Linked DNA regions of Oreochromis niloticus. The protein of the gene in region 1 interacts with the protein of each later gene in a biochemical or structural test. Links are inferred from orthologs where the notes say so. Each region holds a gene or a part of one and is shown in the gene's direction. Other genes may lie near its edges.

Region 1 (12,008 bases):
AAAAAACAGCGGGCAGTGTGCTGAATAAATGATAAAACAACTTCGTGAAGACAAAACAAAGCTATAAAAAATGTCCACGAGCACAGACATGCATACAAAAACTGCGTGACTCCTTGCTGGCTGTAACTCACCGTGCGTGATCACCTGTAATGCTCTTTAATAAGACAGACATGTGAGCATTCTAATAGATGGTAAATGGTAAATGGCCTGTATTTATATAGCGCTTTACTAGCCCGTAAGGACCCCAAAGCGCTTTACACATCCAGTCATTCACCCAGTCACACACACATTCACACACTGTCTGTAAATTAGGATAGCTTACTAGCCATCATGGAAACCCCGATAACAACACAGTGGGGAGTCGCTTGACATTCAGTGCACCAGTACGCTACATGTTTGACATCCACACAACTTTCACTTAATCACAACAACTGACGATCATCGCTGATCAGGGCTGGACTGGGACAAAAAATCGGCCCGGGCATTTAGACTAGAGACTGGCCCACCAGGTGTTATAGGAAAAACCATAAAGCATTTGAATGAAAATAGACGCTGTTGTGACAGTGATGTACACCGTCATGTTGGTATATGTATGATTTCTATACATTTTACATCAGATAAAAACTTCGGTTGTAAGATTCAGATAATTATTTATTAAAAGCTAGACATTTTAAATGAGAATAAGAAAGAAAAGTATTTCTTTGTGTCCCCCTTTACCTGTTAATACCCTAACTGGCCCCCCTGGCAAATCTTTGCTAGACCCGCCCCTGCACAGTTACCAGCTGTCAGCTACTTAGAAAAGGATCCTGGTGTTATTTCTCAGAAACAGTTCATAACTTCCCTTCAACTCATTCATGTCACCTAAAAGGTAAACCTGTTTCTCCATCACCTGTTCAGCTCTGATGATTCAGTAAGGACATCTCCTGGTTTCATCTGCATGTTTCCCTCTCACCACACATCCAAACTGATATCATGACCAGCAGCTTTACAGCTGTGGCTCCAGCAAACATCAGCTGATACTAGAAAGTCATATTAAATAAATTCTAACAACAGCCGATCAAGCTTAAACGTGCTGCTGTTGTTTACCACTGGTTTCCTCTTTCTGGGGCAAAGTGGGCGATAAATAAACAAGAGAGAAAAGCCGATCAGCTGATCATTGATCAATTTCATGATTGAAGTAGAAACAGGAGAGAGAGGGAGAGAATGAGAGAAGAAGAGGCAGCTGTGCACCAAAGACAGAATAACTCCAGCTTTGTGTCTTTTTCATTGTAGCTGAAGCCCGGGACAAACTGTGTTCCTTTTCACCTCAATACAAAACGCATAACATTTTCTCTAAATGCGGGACGATTTCATTTTTACTGGTCGGTTGGCAACTCGACTACTAAGCTTAAAATGAATAAAAAAGTTCACTATCAGTAACATCAAAGCACCAACACAGCTGTATCCGGTTGTTCAGTCTGACGTCACTGGCCGTGTCTGGGCCTAAACTCTGCTGCAGGTCCATATATCAAATGATCACTGTGGCATTACTGAGAGTTAAAACACTGTCTAAAGTCTTTCATCTTTAATAAAATGATCAGCGTTCTTCTCTACCAGGTGTAACAATTGAGTTTAACATCCAGGCATCCATGAAAACGGAATTTATGACATTTAACGGAGTTAGAAGTTAGCAGGAAGTTAGCTCGCTAGCTTCCATCTAAATACAATATAGCATGTCCTGACTGCAGGGGTTTAAAAACAAATTCAAACGTACAGCTCTGCTATCACTTCAAACATAAATGAAGACAGAAAACTAAACAGCAGTGACGTTTGTAGGGTTACTGAAGTTTGGCTAGCTGGTATATAACGATGTGCTACGTGACCGCTAGCAACACAGCTATGTTAGCATATTATAAACAAGCTAACTTTTTTTCCACTCGACAAAAGTTAACGTGAGTGTTCTCAGTGGTCAGGAACAAATGTAATCGCATGGCAGGATGCTGTAAACGGACCAAACTTCAGCCAGGAGAACAACTGAGATAATCCATCCACAATACGAGGTTAGTTATTCATATACTGCTGCATGGGCTGTGCTGTAGTTACATCGTAAGGTTTTAAAAACTGAGCTTAAATAAATGATTAGCGGTAATAAAAGCCGAGGGAGGTCAACGGTGATCACTGAATGTTTTTAGGAGCTTTTTGAGATTAAATAGAAGAAAATACAAAGCATTAAACATGTTAACAACACAAAAGCCATATTAAACGCAGACTACTTTAGGCCCGGAAGTAGGATTCGTCGCGTCATCACTGAACAACCGGATAGAAACTCCCTCATGCTAGCTAGTACACAGTATGAGTTATTGTAACTGACTGTAAAAAGTCAGCACAACGAAAATAAACTCCACCTAAACTTGGCTTATATCTGACCCAGATAGACTGCAGGTCATAACTTCTTACCTGAAGTTCAGTTCACCGCCTCGGTCTCTGCTCCTCCTGCCTCTCCTTCCCTCATCCACCCGCTGGCCTCTGTGGAAGCTCCACTATAGCCACCACCAAACAACTGAGTTATTTTTACACATCGGCCATAAGTCATCGGCCCATAAGGACGAAAAATCACCGTCCAGCTATGTCGCTGATCATCAGCTTATAGCGGTTGCTATAGGTAACGGCACGTCACCGTCATGTAGGCGGAGCTTAGCGCTAGAATCCCTTTGATCCTTTGATCCTTTAATGTCTTAAAATCCATAAATATAGCCTTCAATACAGGGTTAGTTAGTAAAAAGCATTAATGGTTGACAGTCAAACCCAACAGTGTACAGAAAACACAAAAACAGCTCCAGACTGTGGCACAGTTAGACCTGAAAATATAAAGATGAATTCTTCCAGTGACATTAGGGAAAATTTAAAAGCCAAAATTAGGGACTTCTTTCTTACCATGTCAGACAAACAGTGGAGTGCACTGAAAACAGGGTGCCCAGATGAAAACACCATGCAGTCACTTGGCAGCATTACATCATCGCTGATTCACGTCAGCGTAACGGAACTCATGGCAATGATCAAGGACTGTCAGGGTGGTGTCGTCCCAGGGGAAGTTGTCAACTCCGGGGAGGCAATGTTACAGGGAGTCGGGGAGAAATCGGAGCACTGTGCATGTTGCCCCCATTCATGCACCCAGCAACTGAGTCAGGAGGGGCCAAAAGATGCACCAGTGCCTGAGCCCACCAAGGACTCCAAAGAGAAGGAGTGTGACGTGTGCGAGGCTGAGCCCTCTGCACCTTCTGATGATGTGACAGTGGAAGCTCCACTGTCAGAGGAACAGCTGCTTGTTAAAGAGCTCGTAAATGCAGTAATTACACGCGCCTCAAGAGAGGCAAAGGTGTCGCCATCCGATGACATTCAACACCGTCTCTTCATTGCTCTGTGGGCGCAACTTAAAGAAAAAACTCTAAATATAAAAGAAAAGAGTATCAAACGTCTTCAAAAAGCAATTTTTAAAGACATTACAAAGGTGCTGAATATTACACCTAACCTTGTTATCATTGCACTGGGTGTGGCTCCGCCGCACCAACAAGTAGTCATTTCTATATTCAAACAGCACCTGTTCCGAAAGAAGCGAAACCTACTAACAAGGTTACTGGCATGGTGTGGAAAAACAGAGGACGATGGAGACCAAATACCAGAAAGTAGAAAGATCTCCCAAACACTTTTGGACGAGTTTGAAAATGATATATTTCCAATACCGGGGGACAAATCACCATCTGGTGATAGTGGCAGTTCTCTTGAGCCTTACGAAAAAGAGCATGTGAGCGCACTTATTCATAGCGTACTCTCACATGCTGCAAAAACTTCCCGCTACAAACCTTCGGTTAAACTCCACAAGCAACTTGTTAGTAGCGTGTTGTCTGATGTCAACATCAAAGACCTGTATATAGATGAAAAAAAATTAAAAGGTCTTGATAAGGCCATTTACCAAGAGCTCCGTAGCAAAACATTTTGCAAAGAACAACATATCTTAATGTTACTGAATGACGAGGACCCGAAATTGCAAAACTTGACGATCAATATAATTAAAAAACACTTGATCGAATCGATGCAGAATCCAGCCCTTAGTACGGCTGAAGAGGTTCAAAAATACAGGTCTTCTGTGGAAATCTGTGTTGAGGACTTGGTGAAGCAAGTCGTCGAAAATGCCGACTCACCCTGCTCTTCTCAAAAAGCTGATGCCATCGCCAAACAGCTGTTCAGTAAACTCTGGCCTCGAATCAAAAAGATTCAAATCCCCCCTGAACATGTGATATTCCTCAGTAATATGGTGTACAGTTCTCTCATAGAGATGTGGAAAGACCCAGATGTAATACTGGGATTCATGGCATTAGACCACAGACATGTTCACAATCTCATTATTAAGGTCTTCAGAGAGCATGCTGCAACTATATTAGAAAGCCAAACTTTCATCGGAAGCTTCTTTTCGTCTGTGGGTCGAGCTGTCGCGTTCACACATAGACAAAACAACATTAATATATCGTAAGCAATCCTGAGCAATCCATCAGGATTGCTTAAATTTTTGTTTAAAATTATTTGGACAGTTTAAGTGTATTAGTTGACATTAAAGTGACTCTTTAAATCGGCTAACAACAAATGATTCAAACAAGCCAATTTATTTCACATCCAATGAGTCACTTTAAAAATCCCATGACCGGTCGAGGCAGATGGCCGTCCCTCCCTGAGCCTGGTTCTGCCGGAGGTTTCTTGCTTTTAAAAGGAAGTTTTTCCTCCCCACTGTCGCCAAGTGCTTGCTCAGAGGGAATTGTCAGATTATTGGGGGGCGTTTTTTGTCAACTAGTACACAACTTATCTTATTGGGCACTCTAAATTGATTTTTTTTTTTTAATTAATAAAGGCCTAAAAAGATTATATTGTGTATATTGCATGTTTTCATTGTCACACAAATGTCTACATTTTCAGCCTAGACTGAACACGTGTGTTTGTCTTCTAGTCAAAATCAAACATTTTAGTAGCAACTATTGTATTAAAATATGGCAGATGTTTTACTCTGATTACACAAACTTTATGTAGGAGTAGGTCACAGATAAGAGGTATTCATTTGTAAATTTGACCTCTGACCTCACAGAGATACAGGATGACAGGATATTTGTATGTAAACTATAATGTGATATTAGAATCCACATATATTGGTATATAATCTCCTAAATGTTGCCAATGGCAGTAAGGAACATAGCTTTAAATAACATTATGATCTTTTAGACCCTCACTAGAGGGTCTAGATGAGAAATCAAATGGACAGGTCGGAGGTCAAATGTGCCCAATGCGGTACATTCTTATGTTGACAATACACACCACACTTGTAAGAATCAAAGTTATAAGTTAAATTATAAGGCTTTTTATAAGGTGTTTCTCTATGAAAGCAGTTAAGGTCATTACGCAAATACATAGGGGAGCAACTCGGGGACCCCCAAAGTGCAAGCCCACCCTCAGTATATTGGGGTCTGGAATAAAACTGGAACTAATTAAAAATGTGTAATTAATTATTTGAAAATAGAAATACAGAGCATTTTAAACTTAGTCGATTTATATTTTAATCACTTATTTATATATTTATAGAACTATTTCCTGACGTATTCAGTTATTTTGCTACTCATCAGCAGCAGTGCTGTGCATCCTGCAAATTTCGTTATCGATCTGATACCAAGTAAATTAAGAGCAGTATTGCAGATACCGATACTTTTAACCTATAAAGGGAGCTTATGTAGGGGAGAGCAGTGTGTTATTATTTATGAGCTGAATCATCGTACATTTGCCAAGTTCTGAACACATTTTCATGAACACCACCACAACAATGTTGTAATTTTAACAACCCACAGTAATATAGTAGTTAACACAGTTTTCTTGTATATTGATACTGTGGATCGTAAATGTGCTGTCTTTAAAGATAGCTGTAACTATTGAAGGACGACTCAGACATGCATATTTATGGGTGAATCTTACAGAATTCAACACCCCCGCGTTGTGCAAACAGGTTTTGCAGCTGTTTGATCTAAGATTTTCAAGTTATTCACAAAATGAAAAACTATATTCTGTTTTGAGCGAGAACGCCATTCAAATGCATGTATTAGTAAGAATCACCTTTTTTGGGCAAAATAAAGCGTTTTGGTACAACTTCATAAAGGACTTTGGGTCAGCTTCTGTTGTTTAAATTTGCTATAGGCTATAAAGATTTGGAATGAAAATATTTTTTTATTAAAAACAAGATTTTAAAAATGCACAGTTCAGTTGTGGCATAGCTGGCTGTAAGTAGATAGCCAGTGATCACTCCGGCCTCTGCAACTCAGCTGCTTTTAGGCTGCGGCATATAATAGGCTCTGGCCTGCACAGAGACACAAAGTAACACGTTTCATGCCTCTCTCTGCAAAACATGTGGGATACTGCTTGTCCGTGATTTGTGACAGGATCAACCTGATGTTATTTGTGTCCCACTATAACTTTACTGTACTCCAAAATGTCAGGAGTAGTTAGTCATTATAAGAAGTGTTTGTGAACTAAAAATCAAGAATGTGGCATACTGTTTGTCCGTGATTTGGAGAGCCCAGCGTGTGCTCCCGACGCAGGGAAACTAATTCTGTTGGGGAGACCTACCTTGGCACTTGTGCAGGTGAAGCCAAAACCAAGATATGCCTCATCATATTTTCTAGTATTTGGCTTGGAAGGAAGTTAGTTTGGAAACATATTTGGCGATGCTTCATCTTCTGCTTTGCGTTTGTGTGGGAGCCCCGTCAAAAACCTGTCCATTATGCTAGCAGTGTCCAAGCATTACCCCCCTCTGCTCTAACCTATGCAGCTTATTGTGAAATTTTGCAGCCAACATCCGGTTTCGCCTTCCTGACTTGACGCACTGCCTCTGCTTGCTCTATGCAGACGGTGTGACGTCAGCCAGAGTCGGTCAGCTGGCTCCTCCATCTGAGCAGCACAGAGAGCCTCTCCCACAGGGAGACATCACCAAAAAACGCCCGAGTCTGGCCAACAGCATCGGCGGCCTGCCGGAAGAGGAAAAGATATGGATAAAACGAGACTATAGTGGGGGATCGGCCATCGGCGGTGATCGGGAAGACTAACTAGAATATTTATTTACCTATTTATTAATTATTTATTTTCCCTGCCAGCAATGGCTGGGGTCCATGGCTGAGGCTGCTGAGAGGCAGGTGCAATACCATCGACGAAGTCGTTTCGCTCCTCGACATGGACGATCTACAGGCTGGCCCAGTGCCAATCCACAGCGCCCAGGATCTGATGCTTGCTGCCGGAGGACAGTGATAACAGGGCCGCGACTGGAGGCGATAGCCCGTAACTGGCTGGAGGAGCGGGAGGAGGAGGTGGAGGAGGGGGCCTATTCATATCAGTTTATTAGAACCGATATTTTCAGCAGGGGACTCAAGGTTATGCGCACACAACAGTCTGCCGCCGTTCAGTAAACCTGCTGCAAAATGGCATGACTGTTCTCCTTTTTGAAGGCAGACTGTGATTGAATGTGCCCCTTCCCCCGTGCTGAGCGGATTCAAAAGCGGTGACACCCTCGCCTTTTAGGAGGGCCTGAAAAACTGTTGAGAGGAGGCGCAGCTTCATCTGGACCACAGCTGCCAAGATGATGGAGCTGCAGTTAGACGAGGTGGTCTACCAGGACGACTACGGCTCCGGCTCCGTGATGTCGGAGCGGGTGTCGGGCCTGGCAAACAGCATCTACCGGGAGTTCGAGCGGCTGATACACAGCTACGACGAGGAGGTGGTGAAGGAGCTGATGCCGCTTGTGGTGAACGTCCTGGAAAACCTCGACGCGGTGCTGACGGAGAACCAGGAGCACGAGGTGGAGCTGGAGCTGCTGAAGGAGGACAACGAGCAGCTCATCACCCAGTATGAGAGGGAGAAAGCGCTGCGCAAGCAGGCGGAGGAGGTGCGTTAAAAGAGCTCCCCACACAGCACCGCAGGCCCTTCATTATCATCACTTCCAGTCGTCCTGTTCTGTAGGCACATGTGACTCATGTTTAGGCCTGTGACAGGGATTGCTAAACGTATTATTAGTGTCACTGCACTGCAGTCACTCCTAACCACACTGCTTACGTTATTTAAGGATATTTAAATCAGTATAGAGACACCACTGGAAGTTTCTTTTTCTTTTAAAGAGGGTCAACCAGGTAAACAACAGGGACGTTTCCGGGATTTCTGAAATCAGGAGGCCCAGACCAAGGCAGGGGTGCACAGCAGTGTTGAAAACACTGGGCACAATTATCATAATTATCAACTAGGAGTCCTCATGCAGATGGTGTTATTATAAAGGTAAACCATTGTTTTGGTTTAAAACAATGTTTTTGCAACGTGTTAAAGAAGTATTTAGATCCTGTAGGTGAGTAAAAGTTGTAATCCTGAATCCAAATATGGGTTTATGGCAGAATCATAAACATTGCATTACCGGATCATAGTATAATATCTTTATCACTTTAATCTTATGACTGGAGACAATTTTAATCATGTAATCACGTTGCTACAGGGGGTTTTATGAATAATGGTAATAATAATAATACAGATTTTTAGATTCATAGATTTAGATTTTAAAATCTGCTAAATTAGAGTAAATTAAATGGTATGGAGTACAAGTATAATAACTGTACTGAAAATATAGTCAAGTGGAAATAGGAACCAGCAAAACTTCAGTAACGTACTTGAGTAAATGTGCTACACGTAATACGCCATCACTCATTATACTCCAGCCCTCATCTGTACTGTAAGAACTGTCTGAGACAATTATATTTCTGGGGGTGGGCAGTGCCCCCCTTCTGACTTTTGAAGTTAAGCACATGCATCGAGACAAAAGACATCTTACAGTTTTACCCTCGTTGTCTGTTTATCAACATCAGATTAAAGTTTTCTTTATGAAATAAAGTTAAAATCTAACATCGATTCATTCTGTTGCTACAAGTTTTCCAAATATTGCTGTTTAACTTTAAAGTTAAAGTGAATAGCTTTGTTACTATTACAGGTTTTTATTATCACTTTTGTCCTGCCAGTACTGCTGCAACCACCGGTGTAATTACAGCCAGCTAACTGCTAACAGTGCTGCTACCACCATCATCACACATGGAATTTTAAGTGCTCCTTCCTTAAACATTAACACAGCACAGCAGAAGTATATGCAAATATAACAAAAACACAGTATGCAAACACAAAGTGAGGGAGGACATGATAGCAGGACATGCATGAAGATAAAGGCACAGTCGGCGTGACTCTGTGTGGGCGTTTGCACTCGAAAACAGTGAAAGAACAGGAACACAAACAACAAAAAGTGTGTTTCAATACGGGGCTATTAAATTACAGACTGGACTCCACCTGCAGCTACTTTTATCTCCTCTGTTTTTACCTGAGTGGTGTCATAGCAGCAGTGAGATCCTGCAGGCAGGCATCATAAAGCAACTTTAATCCTCCTCCCATCCAAAGAGGCCTCAGAGTATCACTGGCGGCCCTGCTGGTGTCAGCTTAGCTCAGCTTTTAGCTCACTTTGTCATCTGCTCTCCCCAGCGGCGTCTCCTCTGTTAGTTATCTAGTTTGTTTTCACTTTAAGCTGCCTTGTATTAAAGGTTCAGTTTAATATCATTACAGACAGAAAATGCTTATGGTGAAAATAGGATTTTGTAGGGCCAGTACTTGAAAATGAACATGTGCTGCAGGTTAAAGTAGGTGCTAAGCCATCAGTCGTGCCTCTGCAGAAACTGAAAAGGAAAACTGTAACAACAATGCATGCCTTTACATGCTATTTATATGTGTGCCAAAAAAACCAAAACACTGACGTCACAGTATAGGAATCAGATCGTCTTTTTGTGGTCAGCTAGGACTCTTTCCTTGCCTAGATTTTTTTCACCCACATGCAAATCTTTCTTTGCACCTCTGGCACAAGCTGTCTCGAAGACACCGCGTATTTAAGATTTGAAGTTTCGTGCAGGGCTGCCCACACTTTTGCACAAACCTGTACTTGTTTGGTGACATTAGATGACAAATAAACAGACAGTTTTCTCCATCACTGGGGTGCAGAGGGGGATGGGATGATGTGCAAATGGGTAGAAGTCACAGGAAATCAATAGCACACAGAGCTCACTGGGGGAGTCTGGGACTGTAATCTGATTTGTGCTTATGAGAAGCAGAGAGAGAGTGAGAATAACAAAAGCAGAGAGAAAGAAACAGACTGAGGGTTATATGAAGCTACAGCAGAGGCGAGCAAACGCCCAGCCCAGCCCAGGCCAGATCGAAAAGAGTCTAAGGATAATAAGAGGAAAAAGAAGCAAACAGAGTCTGAGGAAAACAATAATGCCTCCTCCTGCAAGACATGGGCAACAACAAGCAGAAAAGGCAGCTCAGATTATAAAGTTATTAGAGCTAACAGCCGAATCTTTTTACTCATGAAGCGTTCGACCGAGATACCCACAAGCACAAATTTAACCATTTTGTAGCATCTCCTGCTAAAAGATCCCATGTTTGTCTCCAACCATCTTTTCCCCATCTCTCTTAATGTGATTTACATACAAAGGATTAACCAGCTAAGTTCCACATGTTATCTTAACCTCTAGATTTTATAATAATTTCAAAGATTTCAGATTGTCCTCTGTATTTTCATGCTGCTGTGACTTCACACCCTCCTCTGATATCACTCAGATATAACTCCTCAGATATCAGTGTGGTCACAGTTGAGCGTGTGACCACACTGCAGTCACACTTAGAGTCAGTTTGTCAGGAAAGCTCATTAGTTTCACTCGTCACGCATCGCAGGATTGCTTAATGAGAATTATTCTGACTGGACCACGCAAACATTCGTTCCTACGCTGTGTCACGTTACCTGTCTGAGTGCTGTTCGCACAGTTTAAAGTTATTTATGAGAATGCACCGCGTTTTTCTTGCTTCTGTAGCCGTGCCTCACTAACACTGCATTTTAATGGAAAGTGATGTGCCTTTACCTGCACGGGTTTGGGAGCCTCGTGCAGATAAAGGCATGGGGAATAGAGGGGTGGACTTGAAGGGCACCTTCCTATTTTGAGGGGGGCAGGACGAAAGATATTGCTGTGTTTTGTTTCAGCGAGAAAAAAGACATCTAGTATGACACAAAGACAGTGTTTTGATGTGTAAACTTGGTCGTTTATCATTGAATCTATAGTGTGTTAAAGCTGTGGATGTTGAGCAGTGACAGGGCTGGAGGTTCACTCTTCCTGCACCATGAGTACAGTGCAAAAACTGCAGCAGCTACAAGAATGCTGCAGCAATCACTCTGCAATTTCTTCAGGAATTTCACGTTCTCCTTCTGCTAAAGCTGCAGGGAGACTACAGCATTAGTGTTGTTTACTCTGCTGTGTGTTTCAGGGTGTGTTTTGCCACATTTTCGGTAATTCATTAAACTTGGTTAAATTCGTTTCAGTGACCTCACCCTGTAGCCGTGGAGATTTTTTATACATATGAAAAACTAGGATCGTCTTACAATGACAAGTGTTGTTCTTGCCGATTCACTCCCTGCAACTAATGCTTTAGGTACAGCATCAGCACTGGTTGTATTTTTCAGAGTGCTGTTGTGTTGCAGTGCTTGCTATTTTGTGTGGCGTGTATCTGCTGCACGTTGGTGTTTCCAAGGTCTGTCTGCAGTCAGAGGATTACCGTATTAAGACTTTGTGGACTTGCAGAAAAAAGGACGTCATTGTGAGCAGCTTTATTTAAAAAAATGAAACAGGCAGCATGGGGGGGAAGTAGGCAGCTCTGTGTTTCTGCATGTATTGTGAGATAAATTTATTATACAGACCTGAAGGAGACAAACTGTGAAATACTTTTACCATAATACTCAGATACTACTGGCACATATAACCACACGGCCATGTAAAGTGAGTTCGGTTTTCATTTTTTGACACGTGCACAAAAGCCCCGATGTATCCTGAAAACACACTGCTGTAAAGCTGATGAACAATTATGTAATTCATAGAAAATATGAAGTA
Region 2 (11,230 bases), on another chromosome or scaffold:
CTGGGGATAGAAGTGTTACAGAAACCATTACCATCCCCTAAGAAGACATCACAAAAGAAAAGCCGTGTACCAGTGTTGTTACGTCTGGCACTATGAACTCATCTGCTATAAACTGGGTCACCAGCCTGTTCTAGCGCTGTATTTTATTTCTGAAAATAATATGTGAAACAGTTTCCTTTCAGTGAATCTTAGTCTGGAAAAGAGGGTTAATGAGTAAGCAGGCCGAAATTCTTATGCAGGAATGCAGGTTAACCATTCTAGCCATCAGGAGGCGTGAAGTTGGAGGCGAAGTGGGATACTACCCATCTTGCTCATTACCCATGAGAATGGGGAGAGCGGGTGCTGTGAAGCCCGATTGTTTTGTGGCCCTTGTTATTTCAACAGAGACCTACAGTGGAATGTTTTTTATCCTCACTCAGGCTGCTGTGCAGGCCAGCTCCTCTCTCTCATTGGACTACGGTCCTGCTCATTATTGAGGGTGCTTAGGAGGCAGCGGGCCAAAACAGCGAGACCAGACAGCCTTCACCACCTCAGCGCCCCATTCTCTGTTTTTCAAACTGTGGAGATGTTTGTTCCCAGATATTCCTCTGAATTCCCATACCATAGCTAGGAAAAAAGGGGAAACTAAACAAAGATTAGTCTGCTGCTGTTCATGTTTAAAAGCCTTGGCTACAGTCACAAGGATTTTGAAGAAAATAATCCTTGGAAACGTGATAATGTTCTTTACTCTGCACTTTTCCTTTCCTCCCACCTTCCGCTGTCACGGCTACCAGTCCACAAAATGGATTTGAAAAGAATCACCTGCAGCTAAATAACAGAAGCACACATAATTCCAGTTTTCCTGCTGTCTTCCAAGTTCATCCCTCAGCAATAAACAAAAACCTAACCCTGCTCGAAATCATCTGAAAACAAGCCTAGCTGCACTTTGGGGGCAATGTGGCATAAAAGCACCAGATTCCACTCTTCCTTCCAAAAGCACAACTCATAAGATATGAGAAGGAATTTGTTCATATCCTCCAAACATCAGAGCTGTGGTCTCAGCTGGCAAGCACATCTGGAACAGAAGCTGGTAAGAGGTGGTGGGGAGGGGAGAGGGGTTACCCTGCGCCAGCACTGAGGTGAAAATCGTCCTGAAGGTTTTACATGCCAGGAAAATTCAGTACCAAACTCTGAGTGAACCTCTATTCCCTGAATCTTACTGTACTGTGCAGCCTGCAAGCACATGATTCGTATTTAAAAAACACACCCGTGTGTGTGTGTTTTGAATTTGAAGAAAGGCTTGATCAAGATATCTTTCGCGAACACGCCTTATGACATAAGCAATGAGAATTCATACATAGCTAACTAGGCTGCAAGCTACTGAGTTCATAAAATGCAACTTTAAGCCAGAATTATGGTTTGAAAACCTCAACCTTCACTACCTGTTAAAGTAGCTGATGTGGTGCTCCACTGCAAAAATTAATTTCCAGTTGTATTCACAGCTGTGTCCTGCTCATGTTTGCTTATGAAAGAAACTGAGCAGAGCATGAGTGACTCAACTAAATAAAATGGGAAAACCCAGTGGTGAGTTTTCATTATTTTTGACTGACGTACAATCAGTAGACATGCTTTTCCACATTACTTATTAATGTCTAAACAGGGATGCTGACAATTACAGCAATGGGACCAGTACCTTCCAAGTACGTCCTGTTAATCATCTCTGAGTGTTGGTGTTTGTCTTGTTTTTTGGTTGTTTTTGTTTTGAACAAAGCCAGGGTAGGAACCAGAAAAGAGAGCTTAGACTATTTTGTTGAATATCAGCCCAGCTCTGGACCAACAGCCCTCACTTCTCATTTTGGTCTCGACCTCATCCGCTCCATTTCTGTTAATCACAGGGTTGCTATGAGTACAGTGACATGCAGAGCATGGTTTTGCAAAAAAAAAAACCTCACTCCAGCTCCCCCCCACCTCTTCCCAGCACACACACACAAACCCAACCCACTGTCTATATTCCTATTTTTTCCTCTTTTTCTTGACGGTGCCCCATTATAGCCACTTTAAACCTGGTCAGGCACACAGCCTAACCTGATCGTCTGCAAATTGACCTCTGACCTTAGGTTAATTACCATAGAAAAGCGGTGAAGTTAAGGGGGAAGGGGGCCAAGCTGCCTTCCCCGATAAAACCTTCAGTCTGTAGAGACACTATACCGCTTCACCTTTTGCTAGGGTTTAGAAGGAGAGTGTACGCTAAAATGTTATTCGCATTTCTCATAATTATCCAAAAATGTCCAGGTAGAATCACTTGAAATAAGTCAGTCTGCTAGTCTTGTGCTATTTTTGAGGTGGTGTTTCCACCCTCGCAAAATTACAATACGATGTGATTAGCTTAGAGATGCTCCATTTGTCAGGGATTCTGGACTAAGTTAACAAGACATGACGCATAACTTTTAAGGTCGAGACATATTAGTTAAATATCAACAGCGCAGCCAGCTAGTAGTTCTGACGATGTTAGTTTTGTTATTAGTTTTTAAAAAAGGGGTGGAAAAGACATAAAACCTCCGGTATTTGAGGCTCCTCACGAGTTACTCAATCCCTCGGTTATCCCGGTTTGGCTAAAGTTAGCTAGGACACTATAAAGTTTGTTTACATCACTTTCTGAGCGGTTCATAAGAAGCTTACCGGCCGAGACGAGCTACAAAATCAGCTGTGAGGGAAATGTTGGTGCTCGGACGAGGTTATGAGTGGGCATACAAACGGCACCAGACGCCATCCCATCCACAAAGCAACATCTTGGATCGTAGCTGTCGGCGAGGCAGGCAGACAGGCGGAGAGGCAACAGGTTTACCTTTCCGCGGAGCAGTCACCTATAAAAATCCACTTCCACTGAAGCTGGCCACAGCGAATGAAAAAAGAAAAAAAAAAGTAAATCTGGTCTTCTGAAACTCCTCAGAAGCTGCGCTTGTTGGCCACTAAACAGTACTGCTCTCACCACCAGAGAAGCCAAGTTACCATTACTGCTGAGGAGTGGAACAACTCCTCCCTTTGCGCGTGGGCTGACTGGAAGTAACCAGACACCTTACTGTGGCTGTCTATTGGCTCTCCGCGAGGGGACTGTCATTTAGCCGTTCCTATAGTAACACAGTACCAAGTCATGGAAGCAGAGTATGTATCCAGGTCCCCGACGTTTCTTAAAAAGTGCTCTTATAAAATTAAATATTGTCCACTGAGATACATTTAATAGTTGTATAATATAGAAGGTTTTTTTTTAATTACTTTAAGATACATTTCTTTGAAATACACCACTTCCATAGGGTTATGTATGGTATATGTGTGAATCTAGTAGTGAATCTTGTGTATTTTAATATAATTGAAAGGGTGTTTTTTAAACAGTTCTTAAACCATGGGAAATTACGACGGACCTGACCTGTTTCCTGTTTAAAATAATTCCAAAATTAACCATGATTTCTGTATATCCCATAACATCAAAATGAGTCAACTAAGCAGTCAGGAAGCAATTCACTGCTGAGTACTTCCTTCCTATAGGTGCTCTTGTCTTGATGGGCTATTTTTGTGGTTTACTTTGCGCCATCTTGTGACATTTATTCCTCATTACAACCTTTAGTAGCCAGATTGTGGCCAAGGGTTATCTCTGCCTGCCTGTGCCTGTTAGTGCTCAAAGGCATGATTATTATCACCAGCCATTGCCTGCAGTGATAAGGCTTGATTACTTGACACTGATTTTCCACTTAGATTGAAACCAGTATTATCATTTCAGCAGATGATGCCATTGCATATAAACCATTTCATTTTTTGCACAGGCATGTCTCTGTAGGTGCATACTTAGTCTATTTCTGAATGCAATAAGACAAATATTTTATGCATTCGTTATATTTTTAGTCTTATTTGTAGGAATTGTTATACTTTTATTCGTATAACAGTCTGTTGGTGGGGATCTTACAACATCAGCACTATAGATCACCAAGCACAACAACTCAGTAACAGAGACAAATATGTTGTAAAAAATAAATAAATAAAGGAGAACAAGAACAACCAAACCAGAACAACAATCATTAATACATGATATGCCTAACCATTATGGCTAACTATTATGACGCCCTCAATAATCCGATAAAATTATGATATTTGCAAAGATAAACAGCATCTTTGATTGGCCCACCAAAGAATATGTGACAGAAGATAAGATTGTCTCTTTATTTTCAATTCACTGCATTTCTGAGGATGCTCAGAATCATACTCAATCATTTGTTAGCTAGTTAGTTATAGCTTTCCTTCTAAAAACATGTAATATTTGGGGAGGCTGCTTAAGTTTTTTTCCACTTTTGTTACACTGTTATGATAAACCGTTACAGCCGTTGGAATGTCCTGTTGTGTACCTGTTGTCTCCTTTGACTGACTAGCCTTTAATCACTCTACATTACCTGGAGCAGAGAGGCCTCATCTGGGGACAGAGTCTGGATAAGCAAGTTCTCGCTAAGCCTTAGTAAGGAGTTCTGAATTTTAGATTTCTTCTTCCTGCTATTTCTGTCAGTACTGTCCTTAATACCTCCTTATTGGCACTGGCCTGAGCCCTTGAGGTAATTTGCACTAAAACCCTGAAAGAGTGGATATGACTGTCATGATAATCTTGAATGTGGGGCACCTGGAACTGTTGGCTGTGTGTGTGTGTGTGTGTGTGTGTGTGTGTGTGTGTGTGTGTGTGTGTGTTAGGGTGGTGGTTTTCCAGTATGTTTAGCCTTTGGTTCCAGCTGGAAAGCATTAAAAAAATCTGACCCTCCATTGCACTTACTTTGAAATTTGGTCCTTTATCTGTGTTGAGTTAAAATAAAAGCTTGGCAATAAATTGTCTCAGACACTTCAGAAGTAAATGTATACAGACTGATGTTTTGAAGCTCTACATGCAAATCCCCCTATTGTCCCCAATGTTGTGTCAAAGCCCTTTTAACTTATAAGACCTGGCCTCTGTACTCGACAGTGATGAATTCTCACACACTGAAATTCACTCAGAGGCATCAGACCAGATTATGCTGGTATTTTGCTAGTTTGTGATTACAGTAAGTTAATTCAGTGGTTCCACAAGCCTGGGAACAAAACAAAACAGCAACCACTGCCTCTGAGTTTCCGTGAAGCTGGTGCATTTATCAGCTTGGTTCAGGAGGGATTTTTGACAAATTATGACAGAAAGGGATTTTTTGTTTTTCTTTTTGGTTGCTTGGTTGGTTTTTACAAGAAAAGACATTTTATCAGCTAACAAAATGAGCAATGGAAGATAAGCATTTAACAAAGTAAACCAGTGGCAGAGGCAGACTATTTTTCCAGAGTTGGTCTGGCTGAGACTATTACATTGATGTGATTATCTCCTTATCTTCTTCTTCTTTTTTTTTTTTTACTTCTTGGCTGGTAAATCTCACTTAGGCTAAATATTCAATGTTTTGGTCCCTCTCCCTTTTAATTTACATATGCAGGTTTCCATGCAGAAATCTCTGTGTGGAAGCCTCCTCACAAAGCTCACAAAACAGTTTAAATGTCTGCTTTGTTTAATGTGTTTGTGTGTGTAAAACTATTCCTCTAAAAAAATAACACTGTACTGGTAGTATCTGTAGTACCTTGCATATATTCTTAGAACTGGCAGTAGTTTGTTTGAAGTGGTCAGATGAGTGGAGTAGTCGGGGCTGGCAGCAGACACGCCCCTGGAAACCTGAGCAATAACAGAGCTTCATATCCTCAACGATCTGCGTGACCGCACCAGCGGGACGGTACAGGATGGGATGAGAAGATGCTCTAACACGCCCCTCCCATCCGGGGGGACAGCTTCCATGTGATCTCTCCCTCTCCCCTCTCTGTCCTGGCTTTGACGTCAGACGTGCTCCTGTTCGGTTGCCATGGCAACATCGCCCCCCATTCCCCCCTCTTCCCTCCCTCTCCTCTCTCTCTCTCTCTCTCTCTGCTCTGGTGAGGTCCACAATGGTACAGCCAGCATCTTGCAGCACAATGGTTGCAAGGTGGTGAGCTGAGGGAGAGTGATTCAGCATCAGCAAGCCTCGGTTCGGTCCACCTCTGCTTCTTTTCCCCCTTTCTCTCTCGTCTTCTTTTTCGGACCCCTTTTTACCTCTCCCTCCTCACATCAATGAACGTTTTCATGAAGCCTTCAGCTATGGTCTCCGCAGTGTTTCCCGTCGGGATGTTTTGAAAAGGACAGGCACCGGACTGGGATCGTCATCAACTGGCACGGAATGGTAAGGCCGGACGGATTTGTTTTATTTCAGTGTGGATGCGATGCTTGGATCTCGTGCCTGGCCGGAGGGTGGAGTGATGAATATTGATCGGAAGGGAAGGTTAATGAAGTCCACTAGTGATGCCTCAGTGAAGGGGGGAAAACGGACAGCGATTGATAAATAAATAAATAAATAAATAATCAACCCCATCTTGAGTCATTCATAGCAGCGTGTGTTGTTCTATAATTCACTAAGAGGGCTGTGGGGGATTTCATAACGACGCGAGCCCTCTCCTGACAAAATATCTCGCATCTTGCATTGCCTTGAACGCACATCGATAATAACATCATCCAAATTGGGTGAGAGAGAGAGAGAGAGGGGTGGGGGTGGGGGGGGGGGGGGGGGTATCCAGGCTACCTCCCTTTCCATACATCCACACAGTCCGATTAGTCGGCGTTATGTATGTTTGATTGGCGGCTGAAACTGGATGCTGACTGAGTGATGCTCTTCATATCTCTTCATAGCCTTACACAGGCTACATATTGGAGGCCTACATGCAGGGCTTGTCCCTCCTCCTCCCCCTCACAAGTCAACTGCGCACCTTGTGCATTATGCAGACCATCAGTACTTCACAGAGATGATGGGGGGGGCTTGCCTCATGTCTTTCATAAGTGCTGGAAAACTGTGTCCTCCTGCAAACAGTCTGTGCTATAGTGGTGATTTATAAGCCCATATGGGTGTCTCTAAGAGTCGTGGTTTTGCTGCTGTGATTGTTTATAGTGTATATGAAAAGAAACAGTTGAAGTAATTTCTGGGCTGTTTGTCATGAAAGCTGAACTTCAAATAATCCTAATCCTGCAGAGAGAGAGAGAGAGAGAGAGAGAGAGAGAGGTGCTGTTCAGCCCTAATGTGGGCTGCATGCTGTGTAGTGGATTAAATGAGATGAAGCTGCAGAGGAAGGTAATTTCTCTAAATCAGCTTTGTCCTGAGTGCTCGATCATTGGGAAGGCATGGCAAACCCACCTCACCTACTGCACTGATTGCACAGGTATGCAGACATGAGCAGGGCTCTCTGTTCTATTACTATTTCTTGTTTTTGTGCAGGCCCATAGTCATGGACTAATTGCTGGCTTTGTGCTGTGCAGTGGAGTCAATAGATGTTTGAAGGGATCACAACAAACTCTTCATGTTCATGACAGGAGGGAAATAGAGTTTTCTTTTTTTCTTTTTTTGTGTGCCGTGACCTTGTGTGCTGAATTATTCAGGAGCAGGCTTCCATCCATGTTTGTGAAAGTGCTGCAGGGAACAGGCTTAACAGTTAAACAAAGCTTTTTTTATGGGTGTCTCCGCAGCAGCTGAAGAGTTGCTTTTTATTTCTTTTTTATTGGATAAATAGGCTAAAGGTTCTACCCTTTCTCCTCCTTGTCATCTTTAGCTGCCAAAAAGGAACTCCCCCCCCCCAAAACACCTCTGGTGAATTTCAAAAGTAGCTCCAGCATTATATAAATTCATATTTAAAAAAAACAGTCTGTTTGATTTGATGTGATATTGACTAGCAGTGAGGCAGCTTGTTTATATAACGGAGCATCATCAATAGAAATAGTCACCAGTAGACTAATATTATGCTGCACCACTGCACTCATTTTTTTCCACCATTCTGTTTTTGTTTTGCTGAGTCTGGAGCATCAGTGCAATAATCCTTTGTTATGTAATAAAATAAGGCAGTGCATTAAGTTGAGATAATGGAGGGATTTCAGGCTTTATTAATCAGCAAAGTAGGGAATGTTATCTTCTAGCCATTATTTGGTTGGTCACTCCAGTCAGTTTCACACAGTCTGTGGTAATGTCTTTAAATGTCCCGTTTTGCCCAAATAGCACTCCTAGTCTTAAATATATTCAGCTGGCAATGCTATATAACAGCAAAGTCATTACAAATGAAACCACAGGGAGGAGAGGAATGGATAAACAACAAAAAATAATAATTGAAATTACTGTAGAGATTCATGGTAGCGAGTCTGAAGGTGAAAAAAAAACCTTCCTCCTCCTGACAATCAGTTACTTAAATATCCACATCAGTCATCTGAGGGCCTGTCTGTCATTGCTCTCGTTTATGGAAGGTCAAACTCATCATTAGATGAGGATGGGTTACTGAGGAACGCTGGCACAGTCTGCCATCACCCAGTGACCCCAGCTGAGCATTGTTCCTAGCTGTGGATTGGTGCTAATAATCCATATTACAATGACAGCTCAGTTATTAACTTGGGTGAATTAAATTCAACAGTTGTCTCAAGATGGATAATTAAACAAGAGAGGAAAAAATATGGAAAACACTGGCTGTGAAAAAATGTAAGCAAGTAAGGGAGAGAAGATTTATTTAGCCAGCCTGAAGTAGATTAAGACGTGCTTGGTAAGTGGTCACACTTAAAATCACATAACTATTAGTAATGTCCTAGATATAACTGCTTAGAAAGCTGAAAAATGTGCTCCGAGGACATCTTTCATAGCATGCTCTTATTTATTTTAGTTTTAAAAAATGAAATTCTCGCTGTGTGCCAGTTTATTCCCCCCCGAGTCGCAGTATTGCTTACAACTACAGACAAACAGTGACAATATGCCTGCAGCATGGGAAATGCAGTTATGTAATTGGATTTGATCTGACAAATATGCAGCTTTTATTTGCCTTTACAGATAGCTGCGTGCAAGACTTTGAGCTGTTTTAGATTTGATCGCAATCTTCTCACACTGCATATGAAGATAATTAGGAGACAACAAAGGTCACCGTGGAAACTCAGGTGTTATCAAAGGACCTGAGGGTGGAGGAGTTACATAAATTCATCAACACAGGGGGGGTCGATTTTTGTTGTTTTGCTCAAACTGAGGTGTTTACAAGTATAAAAAGTTCAGAAAGTATGCCACAGTTGAAACAGAGCAATAGAAATGTTCACAGTTCACATGACAGTGCTGAAAACTTCTCTGTCATTATGCCAAAATAAAAGTTAAAAGTGTTCAGGATGCCATTTTTGCAGGATGCTCCAGTTGTGGCTCTTCTTCTTCTCCTTCTACTGAATGTGTGTCAGGTTTTGCAAGAAAAGCTGTAAATCAGATGATTGCACTCAGCACTTGCCAAAGGTGTACATGTCGTTACTATGCAGCCTATCAGAAAACTGCAGTGTCAGCGTGGTTTTTCGGCCAGCGTGCCTGCTGTTTACCTAAAGCAAATCAGAGGATGTGAGCAAGACTACGTACGAGAGCAGAGACAGAGGAGGTGAGCAGATTTGCAGCTGTGAAGAAACAAATCGATGGGTGTCAGTGAGCGTTCGGATTCTGACACCCCTTAGATGAGTCAGTCCAAGTCTTGTTCTCCTGCCTGGGCCCTGCAGTTACTTTTCTGTTTTCCCCGAGCCCAAAAGGGGGAGGCTGTGCTGCGTTTAGCTCAGGCTGCACAAGGAAAAGACGAGGCATTCGCTGCATACTGCAGGAGAGGCTGAGGCTGCTGAACCAAGCACTCACAATGGAGCTCCGAGGGAGGGGGAGGGGAGACAATTGCAGGCAGGCTGGGAGCCTGGGAGTGGGAATGGTGGGAGCGAGGGAGGGACAAAAGACAGGAAGGGTAGGGAAAAATGCAGGCTCTCATCAGTGCGGACGATGGAGGGAGGAATAAAGAAACAAGGGGGATATGGGCAATGTTGTGGTGCGAACTGGGTGACATCAACAAAAGGAGTGGAGTGGGAAGATGGAGAGAAAAGATGGATATGAGAGCAAACATTGGTATCTGTGGACATTTTGACTGGCACATGACTGGCTTTATTGTGCTTTATCATTACTTTTTAGTAGTCAATCAGCCTGACAGCACAGACAGTGCCTTTGCTGAACAAAGAATACAGTGGGGAGAACCGTAGAAGCACAGCAATGACATCCTGTAGCAATGTGCGTGAGTCCAACCAAAAAACAGGCATAAAATGCCCGCTGAAAGCAGGTGAGACATAGCTACCACACAAAGACGAGCATCATTATTGCCTGTTTCCAACACCTGCACCTCTAACACTGTTCCTGCCGGTGCTTATTACTACACTGTACCATTGGAGAAAATACTTTTTTTCTCTGTCTCAGAGGCCGCTATGACCGCTATGTCTACCATTTCTGTCTATGAATATTTTCAAAAGCAGAAATGGCAGACATAGTCAAACACACCTTTCAGTCCTGAGAGACTCTTGGTAGATATTGGCATGACGCCCCTTGGCTGCAATTCTGCAGCTAGTAATGAAATGGACCCTCATGACACACAAGAAATATCTCATAACAGATCCTTTAATAATAGTCTGTGGGCTTTTAAACTCACCACACTTGAAAGGTCAGAGTCAGAAGAACTTGACGGTACCCCAAAGCCTCTTAGCTTTACTGCAAAGGTTTTGTACTGGTTATTAGTTTGGATAAATAATTTTAGTATTGGTGTTGACCACAATATTAATACACTGAGGCCCCAAAAGGAAAAAAAAAACAGCAAAATCTGTTTTTGAAGATTACTTTTGTGTTACCTCAAACTAAGGTTTGCCTTTCCTTTGACCTGGGAGACAACTAACACTGTATCAGGGCCATGTATTATAGTAGACCACCTCCAGTTCAGACCATATTAAAAGGAATAACTATTTCACTGTATCCATAACACTGAGTGCAGCCTTTGGATAGCACTTGTTAAAATGAATGGGTGCAAAACTGTCTACTTGTTCAGCTGGCTGGGCTTTGCACTAAAGCGACTGTATTCCTCAACTCTTTTGTTGAGTTTGTAACTAAACACTAGCATGTTGAACTTAAAAGAGAAGAAAGACACCATAGGAGGAGTCAAAGATGGAATAATAATCATATTCGGTCACAGCTTCACCTGTCTTAGCCATGCATCTGTGGCAGGTGCATCTGTGACCCCAGCTAGCAGCCTCACAACATGAGCACTGAGCACCAGATACACTGCGGAGCATCCAAGCTCTCCTTTCTTTAACATCTGCAGATACTTTTTTTTAAAT

What was found.
Region 2: the proteins of mapk8ip3 (region 1) and mapk10 form a complex in vitro, tested with the Homo sapiens proteins (3 studies listed by BioGRID, with this or other methods). The link is inferred for Oreochromis niloticus from reciprocal best matches to the Homo sapiens genes MAPK8IP3 and MAPK10.

The regions. Positions count from the first base shown.
Region 1 is NC_031969.2:14,098,469-14,110,476, reverse strand, and holds the start of mapk8ip3 (C-Jun-amino-terminal kinase-interacting protein 3), read left to right. Parts: upstream 1-6,965; 5' UTR 6,966-7,636; coding exon 7,637-7,942; intron 7,943-12,008.
Region 2 is NC_031972.2:17,602,505-17,613,734, forward strand, and holds the start of mapk10 (mitogen-activated protein kinase 10), read left to right. Parts: upstream 1-5,921; 5' UTR 5,922-6,230; coding exon 6,231-6,233; intron 6,234-11,230. UniProt on the Homo sapiens protein: Serine/threonine-protein kinase involved in various processes such as neuronal proliferation, differentiation, migration and programmed cell death.